Linked DNA regions of Neodiprion lecontei. The protein of the gene in region 1 interacts with the protein of each later gene in a pairwise test. Links are inferred from orthologs where the notes say so. Each region holds a gene or a part of one and is shown in the gene's direction. Other genes may lie near its edges.

What was found.
Region 2: the proteins of amyloid-beta-like protein (region 1) and fasciclin-2 interact in binary tests that used the Drosophila melanogaster proteins (3 or more experiments, as listed by UniProt). The link is inferred for Neodiprion lecontei from reciprocal best matches to the Drosophila melanogaster genes Appl and Fas2.

Annotation. Positions count from the first base shown.
Region 1 is NC_060265.1:27,176,728-27,181,396, reverse strand, and holds the start of amyloid-beta-like protein, read left to right. Parts: upstream 1-1,625; 5' UTR 1,626-1,851; coding exon 1,852-1,908; intron 1,909-4,669. UniProt on the Drosophila melanogaster protein: During development, plays a role in the regulation of the neddylation pathway. Appl and APP-BP1 interact antagonistically during development.
Region 2 is NC_060265.1:16,849,064-16,853,746, forward strand, and holds the start of fasciclin-2, read left to right. Parts: upstream 1-1,646; 5' UTR 1,647-1,944; coding exon 1,945-1,999; intron 2,000-3,641; exon of another isoform or gene 3,642-4,200; intron 4,201-4,683.

The DNA of each region.
Region 1 (4,669 bases):
ACGGCAATACGGGGTAGATTCTTATACCGCATAGCTGAGGGTTGAAATCGATACAGTTTCCATGGTAACGCGGCTACTCGCTGGGCGGCCGACGCTCAGGCCAAGGCTACTCCACTCGTGCGTTTTCATACTGTTGGTCTGAAAGATGGTCTTTTTTTTGCACAAGATTAAAGTAAAAGAAATAAAAAAAACACTAAAAAAAAAAGAAAATCGAAACAATGAAAATTAAAAAACGCTCGTATAACTTTGTCATGGCGGGAAAAAAATTGCGCGCAAAAATTACAGTGACCTCGTTAGCCGCATATTCGTATGCTTCGGACATCTTTTTAATGATCTGCATGTACGTACATGTATGTATGTGCATACACATGCAGATCTCTTTTAATATTCACGTTCAAGGTTGCATAGTTATGTCGCTTATCATTCGGCATAACTATTTCGGATCATACTGTACTTATGATTTGCAAGCCAATAGTTTACACATCGCACTTGATCGGGTTGAATTACATTTCATCGTTTATCGATAGTTTTGTTTTTTCTTTAACTGTTCAAAATTCTCCGAGTCAATATAAGTATAATTTGCGTATCCTTGTTATTGATATAATTATATTAGTATGGGACATTCGGATATTCCACAGCATTATTGCGAAAATACATAATACATACATGTATTTGTGCGTAGATAACTTGTATAAGCTAAACGATCTGAAATCATCCCGAGAGGTTTACTATAATTGCTTTCAATTCGTTGGAGCGTGGCCATTACGCAAGAAACTTGATTGTGTACCGCGGTATGCTCCGCATAATGGTATAATAATTCCCAGTGTCCCTCGAACGCTGAAGGGTATAATCCATCACATCAGCAGCGGGGTATAGAAATGGCAATCAGCCGATTGATAATTTGCCTTTGCGTTTTGCGTCGCTACCGAACGGCGCAAAAAAGAAAAAAATGATGCAGAACTGAACCAAATTGGATGTGTTTTGTTAGCCAAATTTTGAAGAAAAAAAAAGAAAATAAATAAGTAAAAGACTCATGTGATCGGTAAGTATTAAAAAATCCGTCAACGAGCAGCTTTTTCCAATTTCCTTTCCGAAAGTTGGAAAACAAAACACAACCATTAATATCAGACAAAACATCGTCCGCTGGAACGTTGCTAAGTCGTCAAACCGTTGCTGGTTATTTGTATATGCATACAATAAACATTGGTAAACGGATCGAGTCATATTGAAGTTGGTAACGTTACCGCAACGATTCATCCTGAAGAAAAAAACCGTCATTTCACGATTTTGGTAACTGCCTGAAATCCGGCAAACCGTAATAAAACAAAACACACTCATATTTTGACGTCCTAGTCCCTTAAAAATCATTGTGAAATTAAAAATGAGTGATTATTTTCCCAATTCTTCGTTACGATCACGTTACCAACTTTAACCTCGTCACCTCGAATTACAGCAGCGTCGTCTACGGTTCACGCAAGCCGTTCTCCAGCCGGATGCGAATCGCGGTTCGCAAGGCAAAAATTTGAAAGACCAGTTTTCCCGCGCCGTATCGACTCGCCGGCAACTTCAGGCCCCTCGCCCCGCGGTACCGAGTCCGCCATCTTGATTCTACACTGTCGGCGACGACGGCGACGCTTCGCGACCCACCCAGTGCTGCGGTAAACGGGCGATTGAACCCTGCTGCACACGAATTACTGGCTCCCGGAGCAGTCGCGTCAAAAGACGGTTTTCGTGCGGGTAGTAAGGACAGGAGAGAGAATATAAGTTGGGAAAAAAGGGCAGGAGAGTAAACGGATAATAGAAGTCAACCGAACTCGTGATAAAACTGTGCCGCTGCGGAACAATTTCGAGATGACAGGGCTATTGATGCCTGTTTTTATCGGGGTGTTTCTCGCCTTTCGAACCGAGGTGAGTTTATTCGTTATGCCTACATTATACTCCTGCACTGTACGCACGTCACTGTCTTACAATTCCGTAGTATACGATAGCTCTGTCAACTTCTTCATCGTCAACGAATTAAAATGCATCTTCGATCCATGTTATACATCCTCTATATACACCTTATTATACACATATTATATTGATCTCGCGACTGCTTCATTTGTCGCCGCTTGCACTACGTTACAATAAATACTTTTAAAAAAAATCGCTAATTCGATCCGTTCTGTGGCAGGTTTCGTTCTCGCCACTTTTCCGTCGATACAAGCTGACAATAATATTTCTCTCGTAGAGATAAATTTCCCCGTTTCTCGCATTCTCCTCCTGAGTCCGCGATTCGCGGGTTCCTCGTTGATCGTTGCGTTAAATGCGACCGCGATTTACTCGCGTGTGTTGTCGTTAGATAGGAAATATTGTGCGGTTAAACTTCGCCTTCGTCGTTGTGCTAAATATTGATCGGGGTTTTATTCACCCCCGCAATTCTTTCGCTTTGCGTATAAACAATCGACTGTGCACTCGATCGTTTGCACACGTTTCTACGAGCGGCGCCTGTGTGCAGGCGTTGTGAAAAAAAAGACAATCTACTCTCGCCGTACGTGCGGAGTGATTTCGCAAAGCTCGCACGGCGGCTCCTCTATAATACATCAACGTCCCGACACCTGAACGTCCTTTTCATCAAACTGACGTAAAATCAATTATTCGTACAATCGGGCCCTGCAGTGACTCGAGTCGCGGGTATTATACATGGACCGTACATATTTACAGGCATGTATAATCAATCCGAAAACCCGACACGCACACCCGCCGAAATAACTTCGAGTTATAACTTGTAACGTCAATTTTCGTGCGATTCAACGTCAGCCGCGGCTGCTCGTTACAATCTGTGTATTTTACACACATATGCACAACGACGAATCGCTTCCATATCGATCCTGATAATACGGCGTACGATCGAGCCTTTAATATTGCCAGGATTCGTGTTCGTTATGCAAACTTGTCGGTGAAAAAAGCGGGCAGCATTTCCACGCTAACTACCTAGTCACGTTTTCGAAACAACCTGCGCCGGCTTATTTACGAGTAGTTGAATCATCAACAGCAGTTTCACGTCGTCCGCAATAACTTTGTACGATAAACTTGTACTTTTTCAAATTTTATCGCTTACAAATTACAATTCGTCGGTTTCTATTCCCCCGAAATTTCCAGAGGTTGTTAACGTTCGTTACCTTATTACAATGAAACAATGGGTAATTTTAATAACAACTCGTCGATCCACAGCTCCAGCCATAATCCAGCTTACATAATAATATATTTTTCCACAGTCAACTTCTTCAAAGTTATTCCAAAGTCGGAGAATAGTGATTTTTCCTGCAGAGTTTCATCGCGTATCGTAACGCGACTAACGATTCAGTCACCCGAAGTTTCATACGTTCAGTTATTGAAATTATACGAGGCTCTGCAGCATCGACAACGAACAGCTAGCAAAAATATTCTGCAAGAATAGCAGCGCGTCGCTTTGGGAATTGGCTATTTTGCACGTCGTTGGAGAATAAAACCGAGCAAGCACTTCTATAATTTTTACTCGGCAAATTTTTTCTACCATAATTTTACAATCGTCCCAAATGCAATATTATCAATCGTTTTCCAAACGGTCGCGCACCTTGTTTCGACCGACCGTATCGCAGGTGTGTTCACATGCATCCGAGGGATGCGGATGGGACAGGAAGATTTGAAACGGGTAGAAAGGACGCGGAGATAGGGTCCTAGATCCTGTTGCAGCTCGGGCTACCGAAATTGTCTTTTCTTTCATTCTAGCGGGAGTTTCTTCGCTTTGTAAATATGTATAATAATACCACCGAAAAACCCGCGCCGCCTCTAATTTGCGCGTTTAATACTTGAGAATTTTAAGCAGCAGGAAAATAGCGGTTTATATTCATCTTATACTCGGCTAAAATACGAAATTTATGTACAGGCAGGTATATACCGATACGTACCTTTTAAAGCAAATAATAATAAGAATAATAATTGAAAAAGTTTTTAACCTTGATAGAAGTAAAGTGTCTCTTTGAAATGGTAATATAAAGTTTTGTATCATCTCGTTCATCGATTATACGAGTATACGTGTATACGTGACATATAATCCAACCAAATTGGTTCAATTTAACCGGGCCGGGGTTGTATCGCTTTGTAGTTTATATAATATGTAATACCTATAATATGTATGTATACGTAAGCTTTCGTAGCGGCGTATGAAAATCAATTCAATATTGTGAATTGATTGGTACGCGGGTATAAAGTCTACACAATGTGTGTTGTATGTATTGTAGTTGAATTACAGAGCAGACGAGGTTTATAATATATTATTCTCTATTGCGGGTTATTCTTCATTTCATTTGAACAAATTACTCAGGTATTATATTTATATGTAACTTTAACCGTTGGCCATAACTTATTTATCCGCAAATTATTTACTTAATCGACGATTTATAGATTCGCCGTAACGATCAATAATTAATAAATAACAATCGATGGATGAAATTAAATTTCAATGAAGATATGCATCGATTTGATGCCAGACTAACAGACGTAACCGCGTGGAACCATTTCAAATTTCTATCAATGATGCTTCAAATCTACTCTCCGAACTTGGGTTTGAATAATTATGCGATTTTCGTCTTACAGTTTATACGCCATCGAGTACGCACGTTTAAATCCATACCTAGACAAAATACGA
Region 2 (4,683 bases), about 10 Mb from region 1:
GATGGTAATATCCTCGACGTTTGATTTCGTTGCGTATACATCAGCTTCGTTCACACGACAATCAGTTAATTTCACATGAACATCCCTGCGTCGTTTCAAACCTTCGCACAATTCCATTTCAATTTTCTGTCTCTCCTCGACTTTTGAATGAGCTTCCGTTTCTGCCTTTGTGCGGTGCGGTGTGTGTTTGATTTCATGTTTTCGTGTTAAAAGCACAAAAAAAGTTGAAAACTGTCTACGATAAAAACGATAAAAACGATAAAACAACGTTTCAAAACCTGTCTTGCGACGTATGCTAGTTTACTCATATTGCAAGCACGATACTTACCGCAATGTTGATAATTCGTTTTTATAATAATTACATGCTGTACATGAAAACAAGGAAACAGAGAGTTGGAAAAGAATGAAAATCGTCAAATTCAACCAGTTATTCGAATATCATGTGGCAAACATTAGTGTAGAATAGCTTACACGTGAATCAGCCTGGGTTAAGAAATGTCTCATGATGGCTTAAAAATGGTGATTAATTTATACCTGCTCATATACATTTCTTACAGTTTCCTTCTGGCAGGTAGATTATTGTTCTGAGAAATATTCGTGATAGAAGATTTCCGTGTTACTTGTAAACGAAGAATTAGTACTTGAGTTTAGTACTTACAAAAAGCCAGAAAGAATGGCATCACCTTTATCACCATTTCTCATAAAGGTTTTTATCCCTTTGTTTTAAATGAAAAACTCTGAAGTATAAAATTATGTGCACTTTCGAGATTTCTTTGCATTTTTTGTATATTACCTATTATTATTTCCTAATATTAATCGAAACGCGTTGCAAGTTTTTGTAAAGTATAAGTATATCAATGCTTGATATACTTTTTTCTGACAATGAGAATAATTGTATAGAGAAATCTATGACTGGAAAGAGTTTTAATGCATTACTAGAAATTGACAAAACTGAGTGTTCAATCGTTTTCCTGTAATTCGATTCAATATCACATATTATTATTGATAAATTTTCTTATTGTTAGCAATAATTTTTGTCCTTTTTTGTTTCAACTTTCGAAATTTTACAGTCAATACCCACACAAAAATGTAAAAACTTTCTTTTGTAGTCTTTCTTAGAAATTTGACTGCAAGAAAATGCATTCCGAGTGTGATTTATTAGCTGAAGACCGAACTGCCCGAACATTTCCTAAAATTTGAACAATACTTAAGTTCATGGTGCCGAAACCAACCAACGAAATATTTTCTTGAGGGCTGGCGTCGGACGAACCGAACCTTCCCACCTTATCCTGATGCGGCTAATTTCAAGGATAAACCAATTAGGCAGGTGTTCAGGGCGAAGAGTCGTAGCGAAGAATGAAGGCACCTCAGGTTTCAGGATCTACGGTAACGAATGTAACAAGGCTGCAGGTCAACGCGTACGGTGCTGTAACAATTAAAGCGCTGGATGCGATGGGCGCGGCCGACGTGACGGCCCGAGGTTCGCGAGTCGCTAGAAATGCGTAGCGAGGCCGCGCGAGAACACCGAGAAGTTGGCCGTTTGTCTTCGGTCTTCGGCTGTACCTGCGACGCCGCTTGCCGAGGCTTGCCGAGCGCGGCCGAATTCGCCCGAACGGGTCGGATCAAACGAGCGCGGCACTCCCCGCCACAGTATGAAATCGTCCACCGTACAGCGACGACGCGTTGAAGTCGATTTGCGGGCGTGATTAGAGAGCTCGGGAGAAAGATAGACGCAGTCGGAGAGACGTCCGAGCCTTGACCGCGTGTGTCAGAGTGAATAACCGATTATTCGGGGCCGATTTTCACTAGCGATAAGAGACGCTCCCGAAATACGCATCGAAAACGTTACGACGGCGGTTGTTATAAATAAATTTGAATCTCCGGACGAAGGACCGAGAGGAAGAGAACGGCGACCGCTCGCTGACCGGTTTTAAACTCCGGACAATGGCGGCTCACGGGAGACAGGTGGCTGCTCTTTTGCTGTTGCTGCAACTTACATGTGAGTGTGACTTTTTGTTGTTTTTGGTAAAATTCGTATCAACGCTGACGCTAATCGCGATCGTATCTCAGTGCGTGTCGCAACCGTTCTCAAGCAGGTGTCCGAAGTGAACCACGGGCGCGAGTTTCGAAAACCGTCGGACGGTTGCGTTGCACCGCGGTGCAATTGTTGTTGATGGAGTTTTTTTTTTTTTTTTAACGGTTCCATCGGCGTTGGATTTACGAGGCTGAAGTTTGTAACGTTAAGACAACTGAAGAAGTTGAATTTGCGAAATCTGAGTTTGTGATGCTGTATTTGGTAACAGTTTACTAAATTTCCGGTAATCCTAAAGTTGTAAAATAACCATTTTCTCTAAAGATGCATCATCACAACAAGCTCGTTACAAACTTCGGCTTAATTCGGGTTTTTCAATTTTCTGGGTCATTCCTTTGTTTACACACACCTTCTAGCCAATGTGTCGTTTACCCGTGATCGAGTTCCGCCAAAGTCAGACCGTCAGACTTTGTATATCGCAACTATTTATAATCCCAGACGTTGCGGTCTGTCTGCAAACGCCTGATGGTTACCTCGCGGGTCAGTCGAATCTTACTTTGATTATATGTTCTAGCCGCGGGATCAGACAAGTTGCGACGGCGACATTCGCGCTTTCATAGCAGATAAACTTCTCACGAACCGACAAAAAATACATACCATCTACCCATAACATTCCTAGACTATTTATCCAAACGCAATTTGGCAGGCTTTATAGCTCGCCCACTCAGCTTCAAGTTTACCAACACCCGGAGACTCAATCGCTTCACGATTTTTCGTTGATGCATTTATTTTAAGCAGTAGAGAACATAGCTTTTTAGCACTGCTTTCAGTGATCGTACGGTTGAGTTTTTTTCTTCATCGGCAACACTCGAACGTTTGCCTTTACTATTTTTCATTGACTACCTTATCAGATTTTATAGTAGGCTCGATAATACGGCACAAACACCGGTACGTTATAGTACAGTTGAATAATTATGAATATTTCAAGTCACGAGGGGCGAATCCATAAATTGTGTAATTTCGAGCTTTGGAAAATGTGAAATCGTCAAACAAAAGCGAGGTTATTAAAAGGGTGCCCTGGTCGATTTCGACTGCATATGTTCCCAAATATCGATGCCCACGTATCTCGAACGAAAAACAGGGCTCAATAGTCTCATTCTATTCACAATTCTATACAAAAACACTGAAATCCATTTTTCGGTGCATGAATTCTACGAACTTACTGTTACGGTTCGTAGAATCCGTGCAATTTCTTTATTTCAGCCTGAAATGAAAATGCATCGGAGTTCTCTTGTTCAAAATTGTGTATAGAATGGGACTGTTGAGCCCTTTTTTCGTTAGAGATACCTGGACGTCGATACTTGGAGCTACGTATATACGTTGGCGTCGAAATCGACAAGGACATCCCCTTAAACGGGAAAAATCTTTTCACTTGTTCTCAGGTGAGAATCCGGTTTGTTCTCGGCTCCGAATTATCTACCTGCAGCAAGGTCTAATTGTAAGAGTGCGAGTCCTTTGGACTTCAAACGAATCCTAAGAGCAGGGTAGAGAAAAATTTACCGTGAAATTTACCTGAGAGCATTACATCGAAGATGAGTATAATGCTTACCTGCGCTCAAGCTCTCTTTGTTCTCTCTGGCTGCTCTCTTCGGGTCCTGGCGCCTTGAAAGTCGCGTCGCGACGGTTACACCGGGCCCTCCGATCTCTGTCCTTGGTATTGCGGTTGTTTATTCTTTGGTCCGGTCCCGGCGGCGACCGTTTATATAATTCGCCATGGACTAAACGGCTACGGAAATTTCCGAAGCTCGGTGAAATTCTCCCAATCGCATTCCGCCACTTCGGCCATATTCCTTCTTGTCGGTTTTCTTCCCATTTTCACACCATGCGAAAGACTCGACACCGACGCGCTGTAAGCGGCGGTTACGTGCGCGCGACCGTTGTAAAATACCGTTGACCGACCGTTTCACTTTCAATTCTGTTTGAAGGTGCGTACAGTCGGTTGAGGAAGTCGACGATCGTCTTATTGCGTTTCTAATTCTTGTTTCTCCCGCGTTAAATTCGGTAACATTTTAATTTTAGAAAGAAAAGTTGTATTCAAACGCTAACGATTTATCAGGCTGAAGTTTGTAACGTTATTGTAACGACGCGTCTTTGGAAAAAGTCGTTGTTTTGAAACTTTAGGATTACTTGACATCTGATAAACTGCTGGTACAGCATCAACAAACTCAGATTTTGTAAAATAAACTTCTTTAGGTATTCTAAAGGTGCAAAATAGTGTTTTTTGTTTCAACATTTCGGTACATTAACGTTAATAACTTCGTTCTCGTAACGGTTTTGCGCATTGGCCTGTGCGGTGCGTAAAGTATGGCGAGAAAACCGAGACGACAGAATTACGATTATCTACTCATCAAATCGTTCTCAAATTTATACTGAAATTCATTTTTTTTTTTCGTCGTTATAGTTGAAAAATTTATTTTGAGCGCAGTTGAAAGTGAAAAAATCAGGATTATAATAACAATTGATCGATTTTCTTTCATTTACAATCGAACAGTACGACCTTGAAACAGTTGGTAGGAGAAAGGCATCAGATACAAGCTGATTTTCATATTATTTGAAAAAAATCTACGATCACTCATTCAATCCTTACAGAC